2 linked regions of the Caenorhabditis elegans genome follow. The protein of the gene in region 2 purifies or fractionates together with the protein of the main gene of each other region. This does not show direct contact. Each region holds a gene or a part of one and is shown on either strand. Other genes may lie near its edges.

Region 1 (7,911 bases), on a different chromosome or scaffold from region 2:
TTTGCCGATTTGCCGATTTGCCGGAAAAATCGTTTGCCGCTCACCCCTGATTTGTGCCCCGGTTAGACCGTCAGCAGTTCGGCGCTTGCCACCGACTTTCGACTGTTCCGGGATCCCAACAGCTTTTTTTCCAAGAAAGTTGTTTTGTCAACTTTTTGACGTAGAAGTTTAGTTATTTTCAGTCTTGTTTTAATAGATACGATTCACAGGACAAATTGGCAGTTTCGTATGATAGGTTTACCCAGGCACCCCTGATTCAAATGCTTCAAAATCTGTTGAAAACCTTTATCGGTATAAACTTCAAGTATAGAGGATCAGATCTGACAAGAAATTTATGCATTGAAAAGTTTGAAGTGATGACAACATGCTGTACCCCTTTGACAGTTTTAATGTTTTAGTACCCTGGAAAATCATATCGTACAACTGTTCCGAAAACGTTGAGATCTTCATTCTTCCTATTCCCCATGTCAACAATCTTCCCGTCACAGTAAATCTGAATTATATCGCTGTATTGTCAAGTGCATTAACTTTTTGTCTCCCAATTTCCCCTCCGGCGCTCTCGCGGAGCCAACCGCCATTGCTACAGAGACAACATCCATTTGTTTGTGTGGCCACAGCTCTTTTCTTTTTTCTTCTTCTTCTTTTTTTCTGCACGGCTTCTGCTTTCGGCCGTGTCCGTTGCTTGAAAGCCAGCAGGAGAAGAAGAAGCAGAAGAGTGTGTATAGAAGTGGAGGAAGACCGTGTTGTCTATGTCTTTATGTTTCGGTCTCTCTTTCTCTTTCTTCTACACCCTTCACACCAAAAGTGGCTGCTAGCAAAAGATGAAGATATAGAGAGAAAGATGGAAAGAGAGAGAGAGAGAGAGCTCAGCAGATCGCTCATTCATTTTTTGTTTCGCATTACTTCCAATTTGTTTGTTTTCATTCTTTTTGGTAGTTGTAGTAGTTTACTTGTTTATAGATATTTTTGTAATTTTTTACTGAAAATTGAGCATTTTCCATCTTCATGTTAATTCTTTATTGTACAATTAAAAATTTGGAAAAAATAAACTTTCTGGAAAATAGTTTTCTGTGGACTATAGCCTTTTTTTCCAGTCAAAAGTGCAAATCAAACAGTCTTTGCCAATATTAACTCTGAAAATTTACGAAGAAAATGTTCTACCCAATTTTTAATTATTCTAATTCTGTATGCAACAAAGCTCTACATCTTTCAAGTCCAATTTTTCTGAAAACTATTTGAGTGGACTCCGGAAAAATGGACTCTGGATGGAGCCCAAATATTTTCAAAAAATTTATCTATTTTCCACTATTTTTTCACTCTACATAATTATACCAAATCTTTGAAGATGCACGAAGATGCACAAGATATATCTACAATTTCAAAAAGCGGATTTTTTTGAAAGCTTGACAATTCACCTAAAAAAGTATTCTAGTGGACCCCAAAAACTGGAAAAACTGGAATACTAAAAAAATTTTCAAACATGTCCATTTACCTGAAAACTATCTGCGTAGACTCCGGGAAACTTTCGACTGAAATTTAAAAAAAAATCTAATTTGACAAAAGGTTAAAAACTTTATTGAGTAGATTAACTAAAATTTTTCCAATCTCTCGATTTTTTAAATCAAATTCGTGAATTTCCAAACTAAAAGCTTTCAAGTAATTATCATCAGTTCCATTAATGAACAAATGCCAGACCACCGAAGCAAAAAAAAAAAATCTAAAAAGACATTTCTGTTGAAAAAATGCTTGCACTTCTCCCCTTCCACCCGTCCCATTTATTCTCCCATTTTCCATATTTTATTCGTTGTTTCCTTGTTTTGTGTCTATTTTTATCCTCCTTGCAACTATTTTTAACTTCATTCATATATATATTTTTCAGATGGAGCGGATAGTATCCCGCGTTCGTCGATTATCTCCGTTGCACACATTTTCAGATGCTCTTCTCATTTCGTTGCTTTCTGAATCAGATTTTCAGCCGGATAGTATTCAACAAGGTGTTGTATGTGAGTTGAATCTCGGAAATTTTTGGAATTTAAATTGAACTTCAGTATTCGAGAAAGATGAGCCAACAGAATACTGGTATCTACTACTTAGCGGAGAAGTTCAATTGTATAGTAAAACATATGTAAGTATTTAGTACTTTTTAAATATGTCGCTGCAAAAAAAAGTGATTTGGAAGATAGTGGAAGTTAGTTTTCAATAAAATTATTTTTTGGAAAAAAAGTTCCAGGTTGAAAGAACATACAAAAAGCTTTCAGAATGTTCATCTACAATTTCATTTCTTGAACTTAACTGACGTATTCCAATTATAATTTTCCAATAAATTTTGACATAGTTTTTACGACAAAATTACATACAACTGCAAATGTTTAAAATTTTTGTAGACTGGAGATTTCAATCACTTGAAAACATTACGATGTGGAGCACTTTTTGGTGATCTTTCAACGTTGACACATTCCTGTTCGTGCTTGGTAACCCGGCCTGCACAATTGATTCGGATAGCTCAAAATCATTTTTTATCTGTATATAATGTAAGTTTTTCTGCTTATAAAAGCCGTTTTTTTTAAAATATGGATACATCTTATCTCTCCTTACAATCGATGACACGAGTTGTTTTTTTTTCAAAAATTGCACGAAATGTGCTCGAAGACTCTAATCTTATAATCTTACGTGTGGGGTGGGATGAAGATAAATTTTAAGTTAGAAAAAAAAAAGAATTTCTTCAAGAATACGGCTAGTTTTTTGTTAATGGAATTTTGAGAAAAAACACAGAATTACGAAAACAGTTGTAAATTTTCAGAAACATGGCGATCACTTACAACCGTTCATAATAATAATGCACGATATTTTGACGGATGAAACCCCATCAGACCCAATTCACCCTCATAGTTCTGGACTTTTCAATGGACAAAGAAGTATGGATCTCATTTCAACGGAAATTAATCCTTCGGAAATTGTTTCGGTATCTACAAATGGGATGTTGTCAAAAATGATCCTTCCATCTATTCCAAATCAGAGAGAAAAGCCGATGAACAGAGTAGTAGTGAATCAACAGAAAAATGAAGAGAGGAATTTTATCGAATTTCATAATCCAACGGGAATAGAGAAACAGATTCGGGATTCTGGAGGGATTTTGCATAGGAAAATGTTAACGGATAATCATCAAGTTATTAGGGATATTACAACAGAGCATACGGTTGGTTTATCTTCAAAAACAACAGAAAACTATTTTTAAAACAACTAATAAAATTCAGGTTTACTAGAAATTGAAATTTTTGAAAAATATTCGTTTTTTTTAATTAAAAAACGACAGCGAAAATTTTTGAAAATTTTCGACGACACCCTTGTTCCATCATAAAAAATATGAAAATTTTCAAAACATTTCAAATTTTGTGTGAATTTTGTTTCCAAACCCCTCAAAATGGAGACGGTATTTTCAATTGCCCTACGTCACATGATAAATATTTTTGGATTTAAAAAAAATTAAAGGAAGTTTTTTTCAGTATATTTAAACAAAACCCCGAAAATTCTACTTCCTCTTTATTTTTTGGAGCCTATTTTTTAATGCAGAAATTATGTATTTGAGAAATTGATCACCATTTCGTTCTTTAATTTAATTTAATTTAGTTTATTTACGCTCTCGAGGAGACGTTTTTCAAATATTCTTCAAATTCAAATATTCAGTTCAGTAATACTTTCAGAGGGTTCAAAATTGCATGATCGGTGCTGAAATGATTGACTGGCTTCTAACGCTTTTTGTATCAACATCCACCACATGTTCAAGTCTTTCAAGAATACAAATGAGCGCAATTTGGCAAGTCCTTCTCAATAATGGACTCATTTCTCATATTGATGGTGAACACCAATTCTTGGACAAAACAAATTCGTATTATAGATGGGTTCAACAGTTTAGAAGTAGGAATAAGGTAGGATTTAAGTAGGATTTTTGAATTGAAATTTTGAAATTTTGATTTAAAATACAGGTAGCACCAAGTATTGAAGAAGTTTCTAAAAGTATTACACTCCTTTCATCAGTGGCACCGGAAACTTTATTTCTGATGATTGTTTCAAAACCGTGAGTTTTCCCTGAATGCCATAAAGTCTTAATATTCAAATATCAGAGGTTTTGAACGAAGTCCTGAAGAATTAGAAGTGGTCTATGAAGAATTAACATTTATCAAAGCTCTATCCCATCTCAGCACAATGGTCAAACGGCAACTATCTAATTTTGTGAAAGTTGAACAATATGTTCATGCTGGAAGCGTTGTATTTCGTCAAGGAGAAATTGGAGTATACTGGTATATTGTACTAAAAGGAGCTGTCGAAGTGAATGTGAATGGAAAAATTGTTTGTCTTCTGCGAGAAGGTGATGATTTTGGAAAACTTGCACTGGTGAATGACTTGCCGAGGGCTGCAACAATAGTTACTTATGAAGATGATTCAATGTTTTTGGTTGTGGACAAACATCATTTTAATCAGTAAGTTTTAGATTTGTGAATAAGAAAAATTTTTAAATACATTTTTTTTGAAGAATTTTACATCAAGTGGAAGCAAATACAGTTCGTTTAAAAGACTATGGTGAAGATGTTCTTGTTCTTGAGAAAGTTGACATTCCACGTGGGGCGGCACTTGAAAACTCGAATTCTTGTAACTTTAACTGCGGATATTCAGTAATGGCTGGAAAGGCGGAGAAGATTTTGGAATATGTTTTGGAGACGAGAATTGATGCTCTTGGTGATGATATATCTGGTAAGTTGATGTTTTTAGATCGTTGATTTTATAATATATGTAGCTTTTGTTCGGTTGATATAATACTTGAAAAAATAAAAATAAAACAAATTTTCTTCTATTCAATTTAATTGAAGTGGGTTATCTCTAAAAACACATAGATTCAAGATACCGTATTTCCTCAAATAGTATTGCGCCCCATAGATCAACTTTGAAAGCTTATATTTCAGTTGTCGTTACTCCTATACAAAACTTGTCAACTGACAAAATATTGTTAAGTACTTTTTTTTCAGCTTTGTAATTAACTATGTAACTATATTTTCCAAATTAACCGAGATATAGCTTATCAAAATAATGTACTCTGACTAATAGAGGAAATTCGGTATTTGCAAGTAAAGTTTGCTATAGACAGTGGATTTTTCATATTTTTTTTTAGTATTTCGAACAGTCCGAGTATTTTTAAAAGAAATTCTCCACACGGCCGTACTCCCAAAGCATTTTTTTATATTTCAGAACTTGACGTTTTTGTCGAAGACTTCATCTTAACCCATGACGCTTTCATGCCAGACAACACCGTCTGCAATTTTCTCAAATCGTATTATTTTCGGACACCATATGTATGTTTTATTTACTTTCAAACTGATTAAACCCATTTCGAAAAAAAAAATTTCAGAGAGCAACTCGAGACTCAATAACCGATTCTTGCACGGAAGAAGTTCGATGTAAGCGGAGGGTCGTACAATTTGTATATGTATGGTGTAGCCTTTTGCGAGTCAATTTTTTTCTGAATCCTGTCACAAACTCTTTTGTTGAAGAACTGTTTTGTCATGTTATTGACGATAGAAAACGATTGGGAGGAATGGAGGATATATTGACAAGAATTGGATCGATTAGATCTACAAGAGAAAATATGCAATTAGTATTGGCTCGACATCCGGCAATTGTTCTAGATTGTGGAGTATTATCTGCACATACTCCGTGTCCAGTTCTACCATCAGATGTTTGTAATCAAATTATATACTTGGCAGATACAACATGCTTTGTTCTTCCGATTCGAGTTGATAAAACTGCTGAAGAGATTTGCGAACTTTCGAGACGAAGAATGAGCTTCTCTGCGGAACCTTTAAATTTGGTAGAAGTAAAATCAAATGGAGAGAAGTTAATATTCAGCCCAAATGATAGAGCTATTCCAACAGTTTTGAGTTTAAACTCGAAACTATATGTAGTAAATCGAGAAGAAATTCCGTTACTTGTTCCAATGGAAGATCAGAACGGACCAACTCCATCTTCACATTCCTCAATTCTTCATCTAATTGATTCTCAAGAGCTTGCGCATCAACTTTTTCTTTTTCACCTGCAATTGCTAAGATCTACGGATTCTAATGAGTTACTGTATCAAGTAATTGGAAGAGAATCGTTTCCATTAAGTATGCCATTCAATCTTGATCTATTAGTTCGAAGATTCAATGAAGTACAACATTGGTCGACTACAGAAATTCTTCTGGCTACTGAAGAGAATCGAATGGAGATTTTGAAAAAGTTTATCTCAATTGCAACAATGTGAGTATTCTTTCTGTTTCATATAGTTGTGTAAATTAAAAAATTTCAGTGCTCGAGAATATCGCGATCTTCTAACAGTTTTTGCAATAACATTAGGACTCAGTCATACATCAATTAGTAGATTGACTCTCACTTGGAGTGTAAGTTTTTTTTAGAAAATATTACTTTAAAGTACGAAAAACTGCCTAAAATTTAAAGATGCCACAAAATAAAACCAAAAAAAAAAATCGAAAATCCGAATCAAAAACGCTTTATTTTGATTGTGTAAAAATGCGGCAATTGCCATTCGGCAATTTTTTTGCGGGAAATTTTCAAATTACTGGTTTGCCAATTTGTCGTAAGTTTTTAATTTGCCGGTTTGCCGACTTGCCGGAAAATTTCATTTTCGGCAAATAACAGATTTGCCGTTTGCCAGTTATCAGATTTTCCGGAAATGTTTAGAGGGATTTTTTAAAAGACGGAAACACTTAAAACTGTACCTTTTTGAAATGTTTTTTTGTTGTTTAATTTAGATGTTTTGATAAAATTTGCTTACTTTTTAAACTAGATGTAGGAACATTTATAGGATGCGTACAATTTGCCTATTAAAGTTGAAATTCTGAAATTTGCAAAAAAAAATGTGCAAAACCTCAGTTTGCCGATTTGCCGAAAATTTTCATTCCGGCAATTTGCCGATTTGCCAATTTAATCTTAGCCCAAATTTCGCATTAAAAAGTCCCACTCTATATACCTTTAAAAAAATCGATACTTCTACAAAAGTTAAGGTCCAAAAATTAAAGTTCTAATTTTTCAGAAGCTACCACCTGCCTCTTTGAAAACATTCTCAGAACTAGAAAATCTGTTGGATCCAACAAGAAATCATCGAATGTATCGACTTCTTGTCTCCAAAATGTCATCACCGTACATTCCATTTGTTCCACTAATTTTGAAGGATTTAATGTTTATTCATCAGGGAAACAAGTCATTTTATAATGGTCTTGTGAACTTTGAAAAAATGGTGAGATTTTTTAAGTTTTCAAATACAAAAGAAAAAACAAAAAAAAAAATCGAGAACACCTTCCTTTTCGAACTTATTTCAAAATGAGAACTGCAAAACCAATCAGCGATTCTCTCTGCTCATTTCTGCACCAATCAGACAAAGTGGGCTGAGTTCGAAAATGCTGATTGGGGAGAAAGTGGGTGTGGCTTTTTATTTTGGAGGAAGTTCAAAAAGATTTTTTTTAAATGTGTCAATCTTTCGAGATTTTAAAAGTTCTTTTAAAAATCTGCAAAATCCGAACTCCATATTTAAGCATTAGAATTTTTCAGCACATGTTTGCAAAAATCTTTCGAAGTTTTCGGCAGTGTAAATCTCAAATGGATAACGGAGCAGAACATGAATTCATTGAGCCACAGAGTTTAATTCGAAACTTGAGAGTATGTTGGAAATTACTTGAATAAATTTTAGTTGCAAATTATTTCAGGTAATCGATAATCAAAAGAAACTAATGCAGCTGTCATATGAAATTGAACCGAAATCAGCACCGAAAAGAAATGTGATTTTTCATTAGCCCTTCTAGATATTTAATTTATTATTTATTTTTCGATTACCATTAATTTTAATCATGTTTTAGTCAATTTGTA
Region 2 (3,952 bases):
ATTATGACTAAAACTACAAGCTTTTATACCAGTTCTTATCAAGATGAAATCAAGTTCAAATACAAATATTGTTTAATTATTTTCCGTGTAGCTTTATTTATTAAGCCTCTCCGTTAAATTTCATTTGAATTATGATTTTTAACGTGGTCCGTGGTGGTTATTGGATTTCATTTTTAACTTTTCCAGTGTCAATGGATCAATACATCATTTCTATTGGAAGCTAGCCTTTTTGGTTGTTTTTAGAGCAGGTTTGGGTATTGTGGTGCTCGAAAAACTCAATTTTTTTCAAATCCACTATATATCATCATTCTGATAATTTCGATTATTCCAATTATTTTGCTTCTACACATTACGAACCATAATATTTTTTGGAACAATCTCTAATGATGTTTCGTCAAATTTTTTTGACGGATCCTAGAGATTGCACAAAAAGGTTTTTTTTGTTAAACTAAGGCTCATAAAATCAATATTTTGGAGAGACTAAAGAGAATCTGAAAGGAGCCATCTGGAATTGTTCAACATTTCAAAAAATATTCCCATTTATTCCCAAAATAAACAGTATCGGGAACAGACCAATATTAAATTACAAAAAAAACCACCCATCTAATAAGAAAATAAGAGAAATCGTAGCACTAGATATAATGCACTTTTTGTACAGATTTCAGGCAAACCGGGGTTATGGAGAAATCAATAGAAGCCCTACAATAATACATATGAATACAAAGTACAAGAGCTGTGAAATCTGGAAGTGAAAGAATTGTTTAAGTCGTTTTCTGTTGGAAACATTATTGCTTTTCAAACTAATTCCCATGCTTCAAAACTCAAAAAAATCAAAGAGTTTTGAAAAAGTCAAATAAATAAATACAATAAATACAGGCTACATAATATGGCATCCCTTCTTCTTCCCATTTTTCCCATCTGGATCATCCATTGTCAGTGCCAATTGTCGTTTCTTTTCCAGTGCAAGAAGCTGCTGAAATAGTTCTGTGATGTTTTCGTTGTTTTTCGCGGATGTCTCGATGAAGCCACATTCCATATTTGTTGCAACTTTCTGTCCAGAGTTTGAAGAGACTTCTCGTTTCTGAAATTTTGCAAATTTTGTTTTTCAGATTTTTTCTAATTTTTTATTGTTATTTATTTTTAAAATGTGATATTTTATCCGCCATGAGCTACCTGAGATGTCTCAGCTCTCAGTTTGATCTAGATTCAGAAAATTATTTTTCCCAAAGCTTCACGAGCGAGTTTTAGGTACCGTTTCCGGTAACTTTTAAGACACCAAAACTTTCCTCAAATTCCATTTTCAAATTTTAATATACTCTTTTGAAGTAAACTGACAAAGACTATTAAATTATAGGTTTTGAATATTTCTTGATGTGTGTTTTAAAGAATAAGTATGATGTTACATTCAAAAGTTTTCTGCTAAACATTTATAAAACTCACTGATTCTTCATCTTTTTTGTTTCCAACGAGCATTATTGGCGTTTCAGCAATTGCATTCCCCTTTACTTCCTTCATCATTTCAATAATCGGTACTAGCTCAGCAAATGACTGCTTACTGAAACAAGAAACGAGTTTATTATAATCTATTTAAAACGCATTAGAACTTACTTCGTAACGCTATAAATGAGAATAAATGCATTTCCCTTGCTGATCGACAGTCTTTGCATCGCAGGAAACTGATGACTTCCGGTTGTATCTGTGATTTGAAGAGTGCACACATTCTTCTGATTGCAACTGATCACTTGTCGATAGGTATCTTCGATAGTTGGAACATAATTCTCATTGAATGTTCCTTTTACAAATCGCTGCGTTATCGATGATTTTCCAACTCCACCCGCGCCGAATACGGCGACACGGTAGTCCGAGGTCGACGCCTCGGCTACTTTGCTTCCCTGGAAATTTGGTAGCGATGAGAGTATGAACTATTTGAATCGTTACATTGTTTTAAATGTTTTAAAGTTGTTGAAATAGAATTTCACATAACTTTGAGAGCTGATATTTTGCACATTTTTTGGAGTTATGAAAAAATGTGAGCATTTGGCAACCTACTAGAGCATTTTTTAATACGAAGCTTGTTGCCCTTATATGCCGAATAATTATTCATAAAACCGTTTTCTACAATAAATAATCGAACTCAAAAACTAACCGAGCCAGCCGTCGTGGTTGCAGCTGTGGCCTCAATGCTGAAATCAGTATCCAGCAGATCACTGGGCTCCTTTGGGTCGATATCGTCTAGTCTGAAAAATACGACATTTCAAAGAGAAACAAAAAGTTGTGAAGATGACAAGTGTGAAAAAGAGATACAAACACCAAAAAAAGTAAAAGAAAAAAGAACAATATAGCAAAAAAGACAAAAAAGGACTGAATAAGAACGAGAAGTGAGTCCAATTTCCTATGGACTCGAGGAGCCGCGCCCCGCCCACTTTCTTCTTCTGCTCACTTCTTTGCCACACCAACTTTTAATTATCTTCTCTTTTTTCTTTTTTTTTCCTTTCATTGGAGCAGGGGCAAAAGTGAATGTAGGAAAAGTAGAAAGAACATGATGACGAGTAGAAGAAAAAAAGGAAAGAAAAGTATGGAAGGAAAGTGCTTCTCCTATTTTGAGTTTACTTTGCTAGAGGGAGTGGACAAAGTGATGGGCAGAAAAAGGTTTTTTTCGGGCGGGGCAAGAGAAAGAGACGGAGAAAGTTTGAGTTTTGAGTTACACGGACCCACGAGGTCCGATGAGAAAATATTCAAAAGAGGTGGTGGAACATTACGAACTTGTGACCGGTTTCTCAGATGCACGTAGCAACAATTTTCACAGATAAAGGAGCAAGGGCTGAACAAGAATTTGAGATTTTGTGAACTATTCAAATTAAGAATTTTACAATTAAGAGTACGGTACGGTACGGTAGAGTGCAACCAGTGGGAAATTGTTTTAAAAGATTAAAACGGAAACTTTATTGGCGGAAATATATTGGTGGCTCAAGTGAAAATCAGGAAAAAGCGGATTTTATCAGTTTTCAAAAAATCAAATAAAATTTAGAACAAATTTTCTGAATTTTTCCATCATGGTATTCGGTCATTATGACCATATAGGCGTATTTTAAATAATTTTCCCACTGACCGTACTCCCCCTCTAAGTTGTGAATTTAAAACTGTGAATATTAGTAAATTTGCCGAAAGTTAAGTTTCACGATCAAGCATTGCAAGCTTACCGCAATTATGTAAATTTGAAAAATTTTTGAGGAATTTCCCAAAACGAAATATTGAGGAGTGGATGACCGGAGAATTATATCAGAAAAAAATTTTGACAAACAAATTTGGACAAACAAGTTATTGAAAGTCCTCTGTAACACTAAAAAATAGACGATCGCCCAGAATCAGGAAAACGGGCATCCGGGCGTTAGTTTTTTTTTTAGGAAAAACTGTTCCAACTGTAATGTACGGAATTAGATATGTTCACTTCTAGCCTTTCTTTGACCTTTTACTCTTTTTCTCCCCCATTCTTATATTTTCAATCTAATATAGAATTCGTACATATGAGTACTAGCATTGAATAATATCCGATTTCTCTATAAATCACTGGGGGTAAGAATGCTTCCTTTTCCTTCTTCCATCTACCAAAAAAGAAACCTGACAGAAATCCAAAAGAATGGAGAAGATTTGAAAAAAGAATGAAAACACACACAAAAAGCGTTTCGGCCCATAAAATTTTCTTTGCTCTCGTAATGTTATTTTGTTTTTTTTTTGGGCAAGGTCCCCCCTTTTCTTTTTTGCTAAACCCCTTCTAAACTTGGTTTATGTCGAATTTCTATAGTTACATGGCAATAAACGTTGACATTTTTCTGTGGAAGCACATGAGCCATAAGCTTCAGATTTTTCTACAATTTTTTCAAGAAAATGTCAGGGATTGGGAAAAAATTTTGTAATCGTTTGTATTCGAGCACGGCACAAGGGGTGTATCGGA

Evidence for each region.
Region 1: the proteins of drn-1 (region 2) and epac-1 purify together in Caenorhabditis elegans (affinity purification with western blotting, with the first as the bait; one study listed by BioGRID). This does not show direct contact.

The regions. Positions count from the first base shown.
Region 1 is NC_003281.10:10,187,339-10,195,249, forward strand, and holds the start of epac-1 (Rap guanine nucleotide exchange factor 1), read left to right. Parts: upstream 1-1,873; 5' UTR 1,874-1,879; coding exon 1,880-2,003; intron 2,004-2,048; coding exon 2,049-2,125; intron 2,126-2,384; coding exon 2,385-2,531; intron 2,532-2,800; coding exon 2,801-3,196; intron 3,197-3,701; coding exon 3,702-3,926; intron 3,927-3,983; coding exon 3,984-4,075; intron 4,076-4,121; coding exon 4,122-4,478; intron 4,479-4,531; coding exon 4,532-4,749; intron 4,750-5,241; coding exon 5,242-5,345; intron 5,346-5,401; coding exon 5,402-6,288; intron 6,289-6,337; coding exon 6,338-6,428; intron 6,429-7,081; coding exon 7,082-7,285; intron 7,286-7,596; coding exon 7,597-7,704; intron 7,705-7,751; coding exon 7,752-7,838; 3' UTR 7,839-7,911. UniProt on the Caenorhabditis elegans protein: Guanine nucleotide-releasing protein. Together with GTPase drn-1, may regulate acetylcholine release at the neuromuscular junctions probably downstream of G-protein gsa-1 and adenylate cyclase acy-1.
Region 2 is NC_003280.10:5,269,609-5,273,560, forward strand, and holds drn-1 (GTP-binding protein drn-1), read right to left. Parts: upstream 2,238-3,952; 5' UTR 2,204-2,237; coding exon 2,147-2,203; intron 1,893-2,146; coding exon 1,609-1,892; intron 1,556-1,608; coding exon 1,441-1,555; intron 1,082-1,440; coding exon 878-1,081; 3' UTR 528-877; downstream 1-527. UniProt on the Caenorhabditis elegans protein: Displays low GTPase activity and exists predominantly in the GTP-bound form. Together with epac-1, may regulate acetylcholine release at the neuromuscular junctions probably downstream of G-protein gsa-1 and adenylate cyclase acy-1.